2 linked regions of the Schizosaccharomyces pombe genome follow. The gene in region 1 interacts genetically with each later gene. Each region holds a gene or a part of one and is shown in the gene's direction. Other genes may lie near its edges. The genes, in order: pgr1 and trx1.

Evidence for each region.
Region 2: of pgr1 (region 1) and trx1, extra expression of one rescues a mutant of the other (dosage rescue), as found in Schizosaccharomyces pombe (one study listed by BioGRID).

The regions. Positions count from the first base shown.
Region 1 is NC_003423.3:1,410,655-1,419,042, forward strand, and holds pgr1 (glutathione reductase Pgr1), read left to right. Parts: upstream 1-3,785; 5' UTR 3,786-3,841; coding exon 3,842-3,893; exon of another isoform or gene 3,894-3,948; coding exon 3,949-5,291; 3' UTR 5,292-5,502; downstream 5,503-8,388. Other genes in the region: SPOM_SPBC17A3.05C (J domain-containing protein), read right to left, coding at 708-1,453, 1,518-1,954, 2,009-2,037; SPOM_SPBC17A3.06 (phosphoprotein phosphatase), read left to right, coding at 2,401-3,393; SPOM_SPBC17A3.08 (deoxyribonuclease Tat-D), read left to right, coding at 5,611-5,642, 5,697-5,890, 6,066-6,264, 6,330-6,607, 6,671-6,906; aim22 (lipoate-protein ligase A), read right to left, coding at 6,899-7,990; peroxin pas4, read left to right, coding at 8,218-8,254, 8,313-8,388. UniProt on the Schizosaccharomyces pombe protein: Catalyzes the reduction of glutathione disulfide (GSSG) to reduced glutathione (GSH). Constitutes the major mechanism to maintain a high GSH:GSSG ratio in the cytosol.
Region 2 is NC_003424.3:2,622,908-2,630,373, forward strand, and holds trx1 (cytosolic thioredoxin Trx1), read left to right. Parts: upstream 1-2,425; 5' UTR 2,426-2,549; coding exon 2,550-2,861; 3' UTR 2,862-2,948; downstream 2,949-7,466. Other genes in the region: dfg10 (steroid dehydrogenase), read left to right, coding at 1-583; oligosaccharyltransferase subunit Ost4, read right to left, coding at 1,033-1,131; SPOM_SPAC7D4.08 (uncharacterized protein), read right to left, coding at 2,135-2,425; dolichol-P-Man-dependent alpha(1-3) mannosyltransferase Alg3, read left to right, coding at 3,676-4,896; SPOM_SPAC7D4.05 (hydrolase), read right to left, coding at 6,466-6,912, 7,002-7,078, 7,114-7,276. UniProt on the Schizosaccharomyces pombe protein: Participates in various redox reactions through the reversible oxidation of its active center dithiol to a disulfide and catalyzes dithiol-disulfide exchange reactions.

The DNA.
Region 1 (8,388 bases):
TGTGTGATGATTACCAGCTTACCCTCTTTTTTGAGATACGAAATCACGCTTCAGAACTCTGGTTAAATTACTCGCGTCTTTGCAGCTATATAAAATTTGGTTTGCCAATGTCTCTAGCAGTTTAATATTCCTTCTATTTTAAAGGATTTGTTGTTTGGAGGAAATGCAAGTAAATTCACGAATTATATTAATATGATACAAAGGACGCAAAGCTTCTTAATATAGCGATACAGAAAGCAGTTATTAAATGCAAAAAGTTGATTTAATTAACTCAATCTTCGGGAACAAAATTTGGATTTGATTCAAAAAAGCCTCACCTCTTAAGGAAATAATGCTGTTGCAAGATTTCACTAGACTCACGACTGATTAAACAACGCCTACACAACAGATAAAGTTATAAACTGACGCAGCACTGAATGTTCAATAACAATAAAAAAACCACAACATAAACACAAGTTCTAATTTGTTCATGTTTTAAAGGCAACTTTTAGGAATAACGCATGCCGATTTCATTAAAGATAAACAGCCTAAAGTTACCTAAAAACCGAAGAGGCAGGCTTTAAGATACGCGTAAAGAATATTAGTTTTGTTCCAAAAACCCAATTAAAATTTTTATGAAAGTAAACAACACGAGAATAGGTATAGATGTGAATTAAAGAAAATGAAACAAAACAAAGGACAAGGAAGTATGTCTCAAAGACTATTGCTTAAAAATAATAACTGTTTGAATAAGTTCGATAGCCAAGGCGGTTTAATTCTTCGCAATTAGGTAAACGCAATTCTTTAGCCTTCTTCAGTGCCTCTTTATCAGGAAAGAACCATCCTTGAGCTCTTCGAATTTCGTCTTCTTTAATTTGTTGCTCGCGCAAACAAGCATTATGGACGTTTTGAGTATACGTATGCTCGACTTTTTCGTTGAGTCTTCTTATATCTCTTGAACTTAGCTTATCCAAATCCTTTTGGCTCATATAGTATGGAATGTTATGCTTGGCAGTAGTACGAGGAACAGTGTATTTATAGTTTTGTTGAAATGAATAGCGCGTATTAACCGACGTACTATCTGACCAACTAAAGTTGGACAAAAAGGCAAAAAGGATTACCACTATCAAAGGTAGCAACTGATAAAATATGCTCTTTGGGGGCATGTCCTGGGCCTGCTGACGACGTGCAAAATTCCTTGGACGGCCGCCAAACTGATGAACTCGAATGCCAGGTCCACCACCGAAGAAAAATGTTCCTGGACCTGAAAAGAACTGGTCACCAAAGAAAGAATTGAACAAATCTTCGGGAGACATATTCGCTTGAGGATAAGCAGAAAATCCAGGATGGCCTCCTGCGTTACTACTAAAAGAGCTGCTCGCAGCAGAGGCGCGAGATTCAGGATCCATTCCTGTACGGTCGTAGTGTGCTCGTAGATTAGGGTCTGATAAAACCTGAAAGGCTTTTGAAACCACTATAAAAAAGTTAGGATACAAAAAAAAACCTTAAAAATTATTAGCTAAAAAATGAAGACGTACTTTTAAATGCTTCGTCAGCACTAGGTGCGTGATTTTTGTCTGGATGGAGCTGTAATGCTAATTTTTTATAAGACTTTTTGATTTCTGTATCAGTGCAGGTTTTCTTTAAATCCAATATTTCATAGTACTGGTGATTTTTGTACTTTATGATTTTCTGGACCAACAAATGTTGTTCGCTTGTCCACTTCTGTTTCTTTTCACCAGCAGAGCTATTCCCATTTTCCCGCACCGACTGTTTTTCAGAAAAAAAGTTACTCTTGTTTTCTTGCTTAGGAGTTGCCTGAGGATTTGGAGAACCTGTAAGCTTTTGCTTTTCTATTTGTTTCACAAAATCTTCGCCCTCAGTGGTAGCATGAATTCGCAAAGATTTATTAGCAAATTTTAAAGCCTTATCATATTCTCCGGCATTTAAATACTTTCTTGCAAGTCCAATGCATCTACACGTAACATGTGTTAGTAATAAAATCTCACGCAATCCTCATTATTCGTACCTAAGGGCTTCTTCTCTACTAGATTCCATTTTGGTGATATGAAAGAAGGAAATTAAGTCCAAGTTTGATGAGAGAACCAAAGTTTCAAGTGCCTTCAATCTCTGCCAACTTTGTACTTGGATGGATCGATGCTACCAGAAACCCTTTAAACCAAGTAACATATCGAAGGTCAAGTGGCTTAAGTAACATGCACTTTTGAATCAATCCAAACACCAAAAACAGGAATAAAAGGGAAAACTAATTGATATATTTAAAATAATTCAAAAAGAGCATTTTTTGGTTTTGGTTGTTTGCCAAGCGAAATAATTAGAGTAATTGGAAAAGTTAAGTGTTTTTCATGTTTTTATGTTTCTTTCGGTTTCAAAGTGGTAAATCAGAAACTTAATAATAGAATGAGCAACAAAAGTGCATGGCAACCTCAGTTTGATGAAATTCACTCATCCGTTCAAGAAGCAGAAGGGTTTTTACAGTCTAGCAACGATGTACAGAAAGCTATAGACGAGGTGCATTATCCTGACAGCCTCAATGACTTGTCGGAAATATCAAAAAATTTGTATATTAGTAGTTGGAAAACGGCGTCAGAGCTAGTGTCTACTTCAGACAAAGGGATCGATTATACATTAAGCGCTATGAGTATTAATCCCAATTTGTCGGTTCCTGAACAACAACACCTTTGGTTGCAAATTGAAGACTCTAGTTCTCAAAATATTCTGCAATACTTCGAAAAGTCAAATAAATTCATCGCTTTTGCACTATCTAAAAATGCCAAAGTTTTGGTTCACTGCTTTGCGGGCATATCAAGGTCCGTAACCTTAGTGGCTGCATACTTGATGAAGGAAAACAATTGGAATACTGAGGAAGCACTCTCCCATATTAATGAAAGGCGCTCTGGAATATCTCCTAATGCTAATTTTCTTCGTCAACTTCGCGTATACTTTGAGTGTAATTACCAACTTGATCGAAGTTTGCGCCCATACCGCCAATGGCTGTTCAGAAGATATGGTGATTTCGCGGTGTTGAATACTAGGGTACCATCTGAAGTCGCTTACGCTGAGACTGTCCGTGCCCGTGCAGGACAATTAGAGCTTCGCTGTAAAAAATGTCGGTTTGTCCTTGCCAGCTCTGATTATCTGGTATCGCATGAACCGAAAGATGAAAATAATTATTCTCATACAAGATGTACTCATTACTTTTTGGAACCTATTCGCTGGATGCAGCCAGAATTGGAGTTGGGAAATTTGGAAGGTCGATTTGATTGTCCAAAATGCAATTCTAAAATTGGTTCTTATAAATGGCAAGGTTTACAATGCAGTTGTCTTCAATGGGTTTGTCCAGCTTTAAGTATTTTACAGTCGCGTGTAGACGCTGTTAGGAAACTCGGTTGATTTTTTTTTCTGCGTGTGTGAATCATCCACTTGCTTCAAAGTTAATGTATATTAGGAAGATCGCTCTAGGTTTTCAAATCATCTATGTTTATTACAAAAAAATGGTTTATCTTAAAACATTGGTTGCTTTTCCAGAGTTGTCGATGAGATCTTGTAATTAAAGTACTAACCAGTTCTGAATACTTATTTTTTAATAAAAACTCTATACTATCATTGGCCTGAGAAAAGTATTTCCATCTGTTCAATGGCAAAGTCTAAGGAATTCTTCTAATCTAATTATCACTTTATGGAGGTATTGCTTACTTTTGAAGATGACTAATATTGCCATAAAATTTCCTAATATTATCATAACGAATTCATGGTAAAGACGTCTTACCCTTACCTTCCGTTGGTTTATAACAGTATTCAACTTCTTCATTACCTATATACACGAAGTATTAAAACTAGAATGGCACCTATTTCAAAGGTCTTTGATTACCTGGTAATTGGTGGTGGAAGTGGTAAGTACAATTCGATACTTTCGGGATTTGATGGGTTAACATTTATGAATATTAGGCGGTTTGGCTTCGGCTCGTCGTGCTGCCAAACATGGAGCCAAGGTTGCTTTAATTGAGGCATCTGGGCGCCTTGGAGGCACATGTGTAAATTATGGATGTGTACCCAAAAAGATTATGTGGAATATTGCTGATCTCGTCGCAAAGATGAAAACAGCAAAGCAAAATGGATTCCCTAACAGTCAGTTAGGTAGTTTTGACTGGGGAATGATTAAACGTAAACGTGATGCATACATTGGACGTCTCAATGGAATTTATGAAAGAAATGTTAATAAGGATGGTGTGGCTTATATTTCTGGTCACGCTAGCTTTGTATCACCTACTGAGGTTGCTGTCGATATGAATGATGGTTCGGGAACTCAGGTTTTCAGCGCAAAATATATCCTTATAGCTGTTGGTGGTCATCCTATTTGGCCTTCGCATATTCCAGGAGCGGAATATGGTATAGATAGTGACGGGTTCTTTGAGCTTGAAAGCCAACCTAAGCGCGTTGCTATCGTTGGTGCTGGTTATATTGCCGTTGAACTTGCTGGTGTATTTGCTGCTCTAGGAACAGAGACTCATATGTTTATTCGCCAAAGCAAATTTTTACGTAAATTCGATCCTATTATCAGTGATGGAATTATGGATCATTTCCAACATATTGGCATCAATGTCCATACGAACTCTTTAGAATTCAAAAAGGTTGAGAAGCTTCCTTCTGGCGAATTGTGTATTCATCAACAAGATGGATCTACCTTTAATGTTGATACCCTACTTTGGGCAATTGGTCGTGCCCCTAAAATCCAAGGTTTGCGTTTAGAAAAGGCAGGTGTTAAGACACTCCCTAATGGTATCATTATTGCTGATACATATCAACGCACTAACGTTCCCACTGTCCTTTCCTTAGGTGACGTTTGTGGTAAATTAGAATTGACCCCCGTTGCTATTGCTGCTGGTCGTCGTTTGTCTGATAGGCTTTTTGGAGGCATTAAGGATGCTCATTTGGATTACGAGGAAGTTCCCTCTGTTGTTTTCGCTCATCCTGAAGCTGGAACTATAGGTCTTACAGAACAGGAAGCCATCGACAAGTACGGTGAAAGTCAAATTAAGGTATACAACACTAAATTCAACGGTCTTAATTACTCAATGGTTGAGCAAGAAGACAAGGTCCCCACTACTTACAAGTTAGTTTGTGCCGGTCCTCTTCAAAAAGTGGTTGGCCTACATTTAGTTGGAGATTTTTCTGCTGAAATTTTGCAGGGCTTTGGTGTAGCCATAAAGATGGGTGCAACAAAATCAGATTTTGATAGTTGTGTTGCCATTCATCCTACTTCTGCTGAAGAACTAGTTACTTTAGTTTAAATTTTGTCTTTTATTTATCCTTTGTTTTGACAGGTTTTCTCACTTCTGGTTTCTTAAATAGAATTAAAATTATGAGTACTTTTATTTAACATCAGATTTATTTGCAAATTAATTGTTCAAAACTTATATGTAATTGTAATAAAGCTATTTCTATTGCTAAAATACCTATATTTGCTTCTGCAATAAAACTGATAAGAAACTAAATATTTTTTTGATTTCCTACATGTCTAACCCAGCAGTATATATGAATGCAGTTTAAGCTCAACTCTCACATTTTAAACCTCTAGAGGAAAAAAACAAAAAAAAAAGATCTCTACCTATGGCATCAATTAGGCAAGCATTTGTAAAAAGGTAAGTAGTTTCGGTATAAAGAAAGATAATGTAGACTTACGATATGAGCTGCAGTTTGCGATTTTATGACATTGGATACAACGCAACAGATCCTGTTTTTCGAGGTATTTATCATGAAAAACTAAAACATCCTGATGATTTTGATTCCATAATTTCTCGAGCGAAAGCTGTGGGAGTAGAAAAAATGATGATTACCGGCGACAATGTCGAAAACTCTGAAGAAGCCCTGAATTTAGCTACAAACTATGGTAAGTATATCTCACAATTCATTTCTTATTTTATTTTACTAGTATAAAAATTGCTTAAACTGTTTACTACTCAACTCATTCGCTTGTGGCATTTTTGTAAACTCTTGTCCTTTTCCTCAAAGTGTTGAAATGAGCCTAATCCAAATTTTTTTATCAGCCTACTAATAAATTACAGAATGTTTCACTAGTACCGTGGGCGTGCATCCATGTCAGGCACAATGCTTTCTAAGGCACTCTGAGGGTCCTGAAGATTATCTAGTAAAACTAGAAGCATTGGCTAATAAGGGCAAAGCTTCAGGAAAAGTAGTTGCTTTTGGTGAATTTGGTCTTGATTATGATAGATTACATTATGCGCCTGCTGATGTTCAAAAGATGTAAGTATTATTTTATATGGTTCGGTCCAATATGATACTTAAAAACTAACAAAAAATTGAATTAGGTATTTTGAAGAACAATTAAAAGTTGCTGTTCGAGTCCAGTTACCACTTTTTCTGCATTCTAGAAATGCTGAGAATGATTTTTTTGCTATCCTAGAAAAGTATCTTCCAGAATTACCCAAAAAAGGAGTAGTACATTCTTTTACAGGGAGTATAGATGAGATGAGGCGTTGTATTGAACACGGCTTGTACGTTGGAGTTAACGGTTGTTCCTTAAAAACGGAAGAAAATCTTGAGGTGGTTCGAGCAATTCCTCTTGAAAAAATGCTTTTGGAGACAGGTATAAAATTTCTATATAAATTTGAACCATCTGTAAGGCAGAATAATTAACAAATATTTGTAGATGCCCCATGGTGTGAAGTACGACCATCTCATGCAGGACATCAGTTTTTGAAAACAAAATTGCCATTTGATTCATGTAAAAAAGAAAGGTTTAAGGAGGGATGCATGATTCGTGGGAGAAATGAACCCTGTAACACTTATATAGTCGCAGAGATTGTAGCGGCGCTGAAAGATATATCGTTAGAAGAATTATCAGAACAAATTTGGGAAAACAGTATTAATCTTTTATCTAAATAGAGTCAGAAATCCATTTCAAAATGGAAATTGCTTCTTTGCTGTGTATTCCACTAATTAGAAAAGTGTTAGCAAATCCTGATTCGTAACATAAACCAGTCCATGGAATGGATGATAGTTCGTGCTCAAGGGTAGCATTGGGAGTTGAAAATATAACTTTTTCTAATCTTCCGTGAACAACTGAAATATCCATACTGACTGAAAGCTCTGTCGATTCTAGATGTTGCTTAAAGGACGGTGTTTGACCAAAGGTCCATTCCCAGGATTGTAGCTCATTAACTGCTTTTAGAATAGAAGGAACACCTAATAAATCATTTTGCTCGAGCGTGATGACTGACTTTGGCTCAATATCGTACAATCTTTTACTTGAAGCACGTGGTTTAGATAAAGGTTTGGTTGTAGTAGAATGAGATTTGTGAAGCAAAAAGCAAGAAATAACCTGCTTTATAAATTCAGCTTTCAATAACTTGGTGTTCGATACAGGAGATCGAGTACTTGAAACACCTTTGGAAAGTATGCCGGTTGATGGACTTCTCAAATATTCGCGAACACCTTCGAGGTCAGAATTCAACAACATCGTTCCATGGTGATAACATCTGTTTCTACTGATTTTATAAGCTGAACCACTAATTTTCCTCTGGCTTTGAGCAAGTACAATATCATGTCGCTGGTTTAGCCGTGCGTGAACACCGAGATTTCGTAAAGCCTGAATCATAATAGACGCATTTTCAGTATGCGAAAATTCCTCTCTGTTCATCAAAACGCTATAATTTAAATTTCCAAAGTCATGGAAAACAGTTCCGCCTCCAGACTTTCGACGAATGATGTTTACAAAATTGTCTCTACACAATTTCACATTAGCTTCTACCCAAGGATTTTGGTTTCTCCCAATTATAACACTAGGAGAATTTGTATAAAGTAGTAGACAATGCTTAGCCGTACTATTCTCATAAAGATAATTTTCAAGTGCTAAATTAAAATATGGATTGACTGATTTGCAAACTACCACCTTTGCTTGTAGTAAGCCATTCAATTGTTTTGAAAAGGTTGCTAGAGATGATTTAGGGTTTGTAACAGCTTCTAGCATTTCCTGAAAAATTCATTCGAATTTTTATGATAATCGCAATCACTTTCAAGGTATTCAAGCACGTTCTCCAAGTAATTTTCACTCGACACAATAAATAGATTGTTTTTAAACCGTCTAAATAGCAAACAGTGTGGGTTGTAGTACAATCCTAAATTAATAAATAGATTGCGCTGTTGAAAATCATTTACGAGTGAAGTTAAAAAGAGCGTTTCTAGTACAATCGTCTCATGCACTTGTCAGCACACATTGATCCTTTACAGATAAGTAAGTGCTTCTATTTATCTCTTTAAATTCTTTTTTTTTTGCATATTAACGAAGCAAGTCCTATGTACGGAGATTGATGAAGCATGCATTCAATTCATTAAATCTCAGATAGAGGGTATAGCCCGTGCTTGCGG
Region 2 (7,466 bases), on another chromosome or scaffold:
TTTTATCCTAAATACCAATTTTCCTATTCCTATATTTAAAAATATCAAAGAGGACTTGATGTACAGTAAAAAGCTACAAGTACTCCTACTAATTTATGAAATTCACACGCTGCGTAGATTATATGAGAATCTACGTTTTCGCAAAAGCGGTTCGAAAATGCTTGCTGGTCATTATTTATTGGGATACCTGTTTTACACACATACATTCCTTGCATTGCTTTTGTGCGGTAGAAGAAGTTATGAAAATACAATGTCAAGCATGCAATTTGTTGGTTTGGGGATTTACGCAATAGGCAGCATTTGGCAGAATGCAAGTCATGAACATTTGATTGCTCAAAAAAATCATTCGCAATATCTAGTCCTAAAAAAAGGATGTTTTAAATGGATAACTGGCCCCCATTACCTTGGAGAAATCATTGTTTATACTGGAATAGCACTGATTGCCCAACACTGGTTAATATGGCTAGTCTTGGGATGGGTACTTTGCAATATGGTAGCAATCTCTTCTTCTTATGCTTGTACGGTCAAGAACAAAGAACAAAGTTTGGACTTTCGGTGGACTCTTATACCTTTTCTATACTAAGAAAAGCGTGCCGTCAGGATACCGCGATTCTTATTGATTGTGTAAAATAACATTTATTAAAAAAAAAGATAATTTGTATTAATATTTAGTCGGGGTTTGAGAAGAGACGAACTTTAAAGATGTATTATTATTTTATGTTGCACTTTAGTACAAGCAACAGTAGATGATAAAAGTTATTTGGCCAGCATGTAGAAAATAGGGAAGGAAGGAAAAAGAGATAGGAAAATAAGAAAAAAGTAATACAAGTGTATCCAATATTTAACGGAACAAATAATAAGACATATTTTGTTTCGTAATATAATCATTTTGATATGCAGGTACAAATTCCATTTCACAACAATACCAAAGGTAACTTCCCTTAATTGAAAGAGTGACTAATTTAAAAAACGTAGACGAAGAGTGCAGCTATAAAGGTAAGTTAGACAAACAGACATGAATCTCTCTTTCTTTTATGCTTGAGGACGTGAAAGGTAATGGTAAAGGATGATTAAGAGCATCATGGAGATACCAAAGGTGGTAACGATATTTTGAAGTTGAACGTCTGTCATTTTTAAGATGATCCTTTGTAGGAAATGAGTTCTGATGCTTGTGCTCGGTACAAGTTGGGAATACAAGTATTTAGGTCCAAGCCTGAATTGCCGTGCATTCTCATAAAGTAACGAAGCACGGTTGCTACTTGAAATGTGAATATCAGTACTGCAGTGATGAAAAAGACTGCCGGTATATAAGGTAAAAGAAAGAAGAAAGAAAATTCATTTTACGGTACTTTCGAATTCTTTAATACATATTGCTGCTCAATAGCTTCTGGATGTCTAAAATGTGAATGCTTCGAAAGAGCGTAAAAAAATTTCAAAAAAAAAAATTTCTTCACCATCCCTATAATTGCCGTTGATTAAAAAAAAAAAAATGTAACTTTCTACTTTGTTAAAGCCAAAGTAGCTGTAGAAAAAGTGACTGTGGATGCGTATGTAAAAGGTTACCCTCTCAAGCTGAAAACTGCATTGTACTATTTCGCCATAACGTGAATTTGATATAAAGCGATGGTTCAATACACCGTTTCTAGAGGAAGTAGCATGGAAAAAACATAAATTAAAATATCGTTCATCGTTCTAACGAAAGTTCAGCTACCGCAAAGAATTATTTGACTGGCGATTAACTTTTTTTTGATTTCAGAATTTCAAGTATATGTGACACTGTTATAAACTGCATATTTATACTCCTTTTCCAATTTCTACCGCCATTTATATGTAAAATGGATTTTGTTAACAGTAGGAATATCGCCTCACTATTTTACATTTTTGTATGTCTTTTAATTTGTAATTTCATATCAGTACCTCAGTTGTTATAACAAAATTTTCTTAACATTACTTCGACTCCACTAACTAGATCGTGTACAGCAAAGAAAAGAGCACGCATAATCTTTCAGCTTACCAAAAAAAAAGAAAATCTTTACATTTACATACTTATTATTTTGATGCTTTAATTGCTTATAATCTCATGTTTGTCGAGAATCCACGATTAACAAGCTGACATAACAACAAGATGGCTTCTTTAGCTTTGTTTACTAATTGTCAGGTTTCCGATTTGTGATTCGTTGTAATTCCATGAAGTATTACTCCGAAATGCGTTATAGAAAATTAGGAAACGAATTGGTAGGTTGATGGCAGAGAATGGCACCATATCCTCGTTATTGTAGCTCATTACCTCATCGTCGGTGATTGCACAATGTACGCTCTCGATCTTTCTACTAGAATAAGCGAACTTATAAATTACACATTTTCTCAATAATATATAAACGGGCACGTCGCACCATCGTATAAGTATACTAGAGACAAAGTTCATTTGCACTCCTGAAGTCAACGTCTTTTGAATTTTTCAGGTTTACTTCTGTTTACTCGTTAAATCGATTTTTTCTTTATTTGAGTATATATTTTTAACTTAATTTCCCATTTCATTTATATACAACATGGTGAAACAAGTCTCCGACTCTTCTGAATTTAAATCTATTGTTTGCCAAGACAAGCTTGTCGTTGTCGACTTCTTTGCTACTTGGTGTGGACCTTGCAAGGCCATTGCTCCTAAGTTTGAGCAATTTTCCAACACTTACTCTGATGCCACTTTCATCAAGGTTGATGTCGATCAATTAAGTGAAATTGCAGCTGAAGCTGGCGTTCACGCTATGCCCTCTTTCTTCCTTTACAAGAATGGTGAGAAGATTGAAGAAATCGTAGGTGCTAATCCTGCTAAATTAGAGGCTTCTATTAAGGCGAACCTCTAATTTACGCAATCTGATAGTTAGTTGTTATGAACTTGTAATACAAAATATTTTTATTTAACAAAAATAAATGTTTTGCTTTTCTTTGTGTATGCACCGTTGTAATTTATTGGGAAAAGTATTTTTGTCCTAGCATCTTTTCTACTGAAGTTGCAGAACGGCGATTTGCGTACAATTATCGCAATAATAGTAATGTGCCATCGACCAGGCGTAGTAATCTAGTCATGGGCATTTTTCAGACAAGCTAGCTAATTTGCGACCGCCTTGAGCATTTGTAATATTTAATACGACTTTTTGGTTAGGCGTTCGTGACTCTGTTCTACATTATTCTCCTATCCTTCTAAGATAGACATTGGAGAGTGTATACCAATTTGGAATGATACCATTTGGATGAATAAATATCCTTTTTGATTACATGCTCAAATACATGCTACTCTTTATTTATAACATTATACAATTAACCCAACGAATATTTATGTTGATCTGAGTAGCAAACATATTTTTGTATTCTATTAGAATAAAATCTTTAATATTCTCGTTAAGTATTGTTTTATAACAATCAAATTTCACATTTATGGAGTAAAATCACAGTAATGATTACGCTCCGTCGACATGTTCTTAACACTTACATCCTAACATACATTGTTCGTCTAACGAGTTTCATTAAAAACACAATTTTTCTTAAACAAAAAGGAGTTCCTTTCTATGTGAAAGAACTCTACCAATTTTCCATTGTCTATAATAAGCGTTACTCTTAAAAACCTGGGATCTGTCTACATTATTTGCTAAAGTCTCGTATTTTATCAAAAGTTAACCAATGTCTTCAGTTGAGACAAGAAATTCTTTTAATCCTTTTCGGGTATTATTTGATCTTGGTTCCTATGGCTGGTTACATCCTTCAAGGCTCCTTCTGTTGGAAATTCCTTTTGTCTTTGCTATTATTTCCAAAGTTCCCTACACGGAGATAGACTGGATTGCTTACATGGAGCAGGTGAATTCATTTCTATTAGGAGAAAGAGATTATAAATCTCTTGTCGGATGTACAGGCCCTCTGGTCTACCCTGGAGGGCACGTATTTTTGTACACCCTTTTGTACTACCTTACTGATGGAGGGACCAACATTGTAAGGGCGCAATACATTTTTGCCTTTGTATACTGGATTACAACGGCTATTGTAGGGTATTTGTTTAAAATTGTCCGCGCTCCTTTTTATATATATGTTTTGCTTATACTTTCAAAACGTCTACACAGTATATTTATCTTACGTTTATTTAACGATGGATTCAACAGTTTATTCTCTTCCCTTTTTATTTTGTCTTCATGCAAAAAAAAGTGGGTTAGAGCTTCAATTCTACTAAGTGTCGCTTGTTCTGTCAAGATGTCCTCCTTGCTTTATGTCCCAGCTTATTTAGTTCTTTTGCTCCAAATCTTGGGGCCCAAAAAGACCTGGATGCATATTTTTGTTATTATAATTGTACAAATTTTATTTTCTATTCCCTTCCTTGCCTATTTTTGGTCGTATTGGACTCAAGCCTTTGATTTTGGCAGAGCATTCGATTATAAGTGGACAGTAAACTGGAGATTCATTCCACGCAGCATTTTTGAGTCTACATCATTTTCCACATCAATACTTTTTCTTCATGTTGCTTTGCTAGTTGCATTTACCTGCAAACACTGGAATAAACTGAGCAGAGCAACACCATTTGCAATGGTAAACTCCATGCTGACCTTGAAGCCTTTACCAAAACTCCAACTCGCAACTCCTAATTTTATCTTTACTGCATTAGCAACATCCAATTTGATTGGTATATTATGTGCAAGATCCCTGCATTATCAATTTTATGCATGGTTTGCTTGGTATTCACCATATCTATGCTATCAAGCTAGTTTTCCTGCTCCGATAGTAATTGGCTTATGGATGTTACAAGAATACGCATGGAATGTTTTTCCTAGTACTAAACTATCTTCATTAATCGCTGTATGCGTGCCGCTTATTACTATTTTGAAGCTATACACATCCGACTACAGAAAACCCTGATCCCTCTTTACTAATACGCAAAATAAACTTTATAAAAAGCTTAAACACTTCACTTTTAATTACTCATGGTTTTTAAAAAACAAAATTTTTAGTTTTTTCATTTGTGTACCGACTATAAATTTTTGAAAATTAACATCTTATAAAAACGAACATTAGTCTAATCTTTTAATTCGTATCTTTATGCCGTCATAATTCGATGAATATTCTCTTCAATGAAAATCTCAGGGGATTGACAGATTGATAAAAATTCATACATTTAATCATTCGACACTGAAATGAATTAGCACCAGTGTTTTTATCAAATGCTCATTATTACTTTTAAAAAAGCGTTTCTAAAATATAAAACAAACAGTTGCTAAGAACACAAGTGCTTTCCGCACAACTATTGCAAATATTAGAATAAACAAGTTGCTGATTTTATAGCTTGCACCATTGACAGTCACATTTTACTAAGGTTTCATTATATATTTCAGTTCCCTCGTTAAAGTAATTTTGTGATTTGCTGTTTATTTGCATAATGTGAACTTCTTAAGGATACATTCGACCGCTGTAAGCGCCTCTTGTCTGATGTAGCGTAGTATGGATTATGAAAAAAACATATTTAGCGTAACTTGTAATAGTTCTAATAAGCTAATAAGTAAAATCAACTTCTACCAGCTTCAACTGCACTTCAAAATATATTTTTCATAAAAGGTTTAGAATAATTGCTTTTTAAGGGAATGACTATAAACGCAGGCATACATGTGAGAAAGCAACTTTTATCTTACTATAGCTAGTGCAGCGTAATAAATATTTCTTTATATCAGCATATTGGCATTTCGAGGGAATAATGGTGAATATGTAAATGTCTTAAAAATATTAAATATAGAGCCAGTACTAATTGTTAAATAAAATTTAGATAATTTAAAAGCATAAATCCCTTTAGCTAAATAAATGCTTTATCGAATTTGCTCGGTTTGCGTCAGTTCTTCGAATTTCAATATTTATGAATAGAGTATACACTCCATTAAAGAAAAGAATTTTGTGAGCTACTCTGTATAGATTTTGAACCCGTAAAAACAGCAAATGCATAACTGAGCCCTAGATTGTTGGTCTAACGATTATTCTCGTAGCATGGATGCTAGACTTGGAATAACGCGACTAGAATGGTCATTCAAATTAGAAAATAAAAAGGATTGCTATTGCGTTTATCGGCATATTCTTCATTTTTTAAATTTTCGTTAGCATGCATATGCATTAGCCATTTCATGTTCATGTCTTTTCGGAATATTCATTGTTTACTTATTTGCGCCCTTGTATAATGAAAACAACAATAGATCAATCTCTAAAAAATTAAAAGGATCACATAAATATAATTTTTCTTCAATGTCAAAAGCTAGTACACAAAGGAACAACAGAGCTTTGTTGAAAATATAATCAATTTATACATTTATTAGAATTCTGACGAAATATTCATTTATAAGAAAAAATTATCATTTCAAATGTGAAACCTTTATTGTCACATTAGGTCCTTGAAGAAGGGGTCCAGATATGAATGTTGGATACGCGGTAAACCTGACTGCGTTTATTTTACTTCTGTTCAAAATATTTCAGGAAATTGGTTTTTATGTCACAGTATTCAGCATTCCATTGGATGTTTCTTGCTGCTGAAACATCTTTTATTAAATCATCCCCTAGGTGCATACATTCTTCTGGTTGAATCTCCTGTCCAAGAAGTTTAACAGCCTTTTCCATAGCATAATCAAATATTTCCCTGCTTGGTTTTTCAAATCCAACGTCGTACGAAAACGCATATATATCTATTAGATGATCTATGCCGTAATCTTCAAGCACTGTACGAATTCTTTCGTCTGTGTTTGAAATAATACCAATAATGTATTTCCTCTCTTCTTTATTTCTCTTAAGGAAATCAATCAGAAGAGGATGAATCGTGTAACCCGTCTTTTTGGAAAAGTAACTCCATAGCTCTTCAGCCATTTCTGCAGGAACAGGAGTTGGAAAAGAATGTTCGATAACCTAAAATTGTTAGCATGTAAAGGTTTTTTAGAAATCAAGAGATTCAATTCTTTACAAAACACAAATCTCAATGAAATTCAGACACATACTTTGATCCACCAGTCATGAGGATTTAATCCTGACTTTTTTCCATGATTCTTATGCTTTTCACTGAAATCCTTGAATGCTAAATTATTAGATAAATAGAAACCAAAAGCTAACCTTTATTACTATTGTGTTCAATTTCATCAATAGTTGCATGAACTCCATACTTCTGAGCGACTTCGCTGTACACAATTGGAACAGGTTTACTTAAATGAAGGATTGTTCCAAAAGCATCGAACGTAACCAACTTGATCTTTTGGATATTTTTTGAGGGAATCATAATTCCAGGTTGTACTTTGATGGGACACACTACACAAAGCAATTTACATAAGGTACTCCTTACCACCAGTGCGTTGTTCGGTGTGATAAATAATATTTGCAAATCACTTTTATTGCGAGCGATTGCGTTCTACATATTAAATAATATACGAATAGATTAAAAGTTCATTAAAAATTTATCATGTTACAAG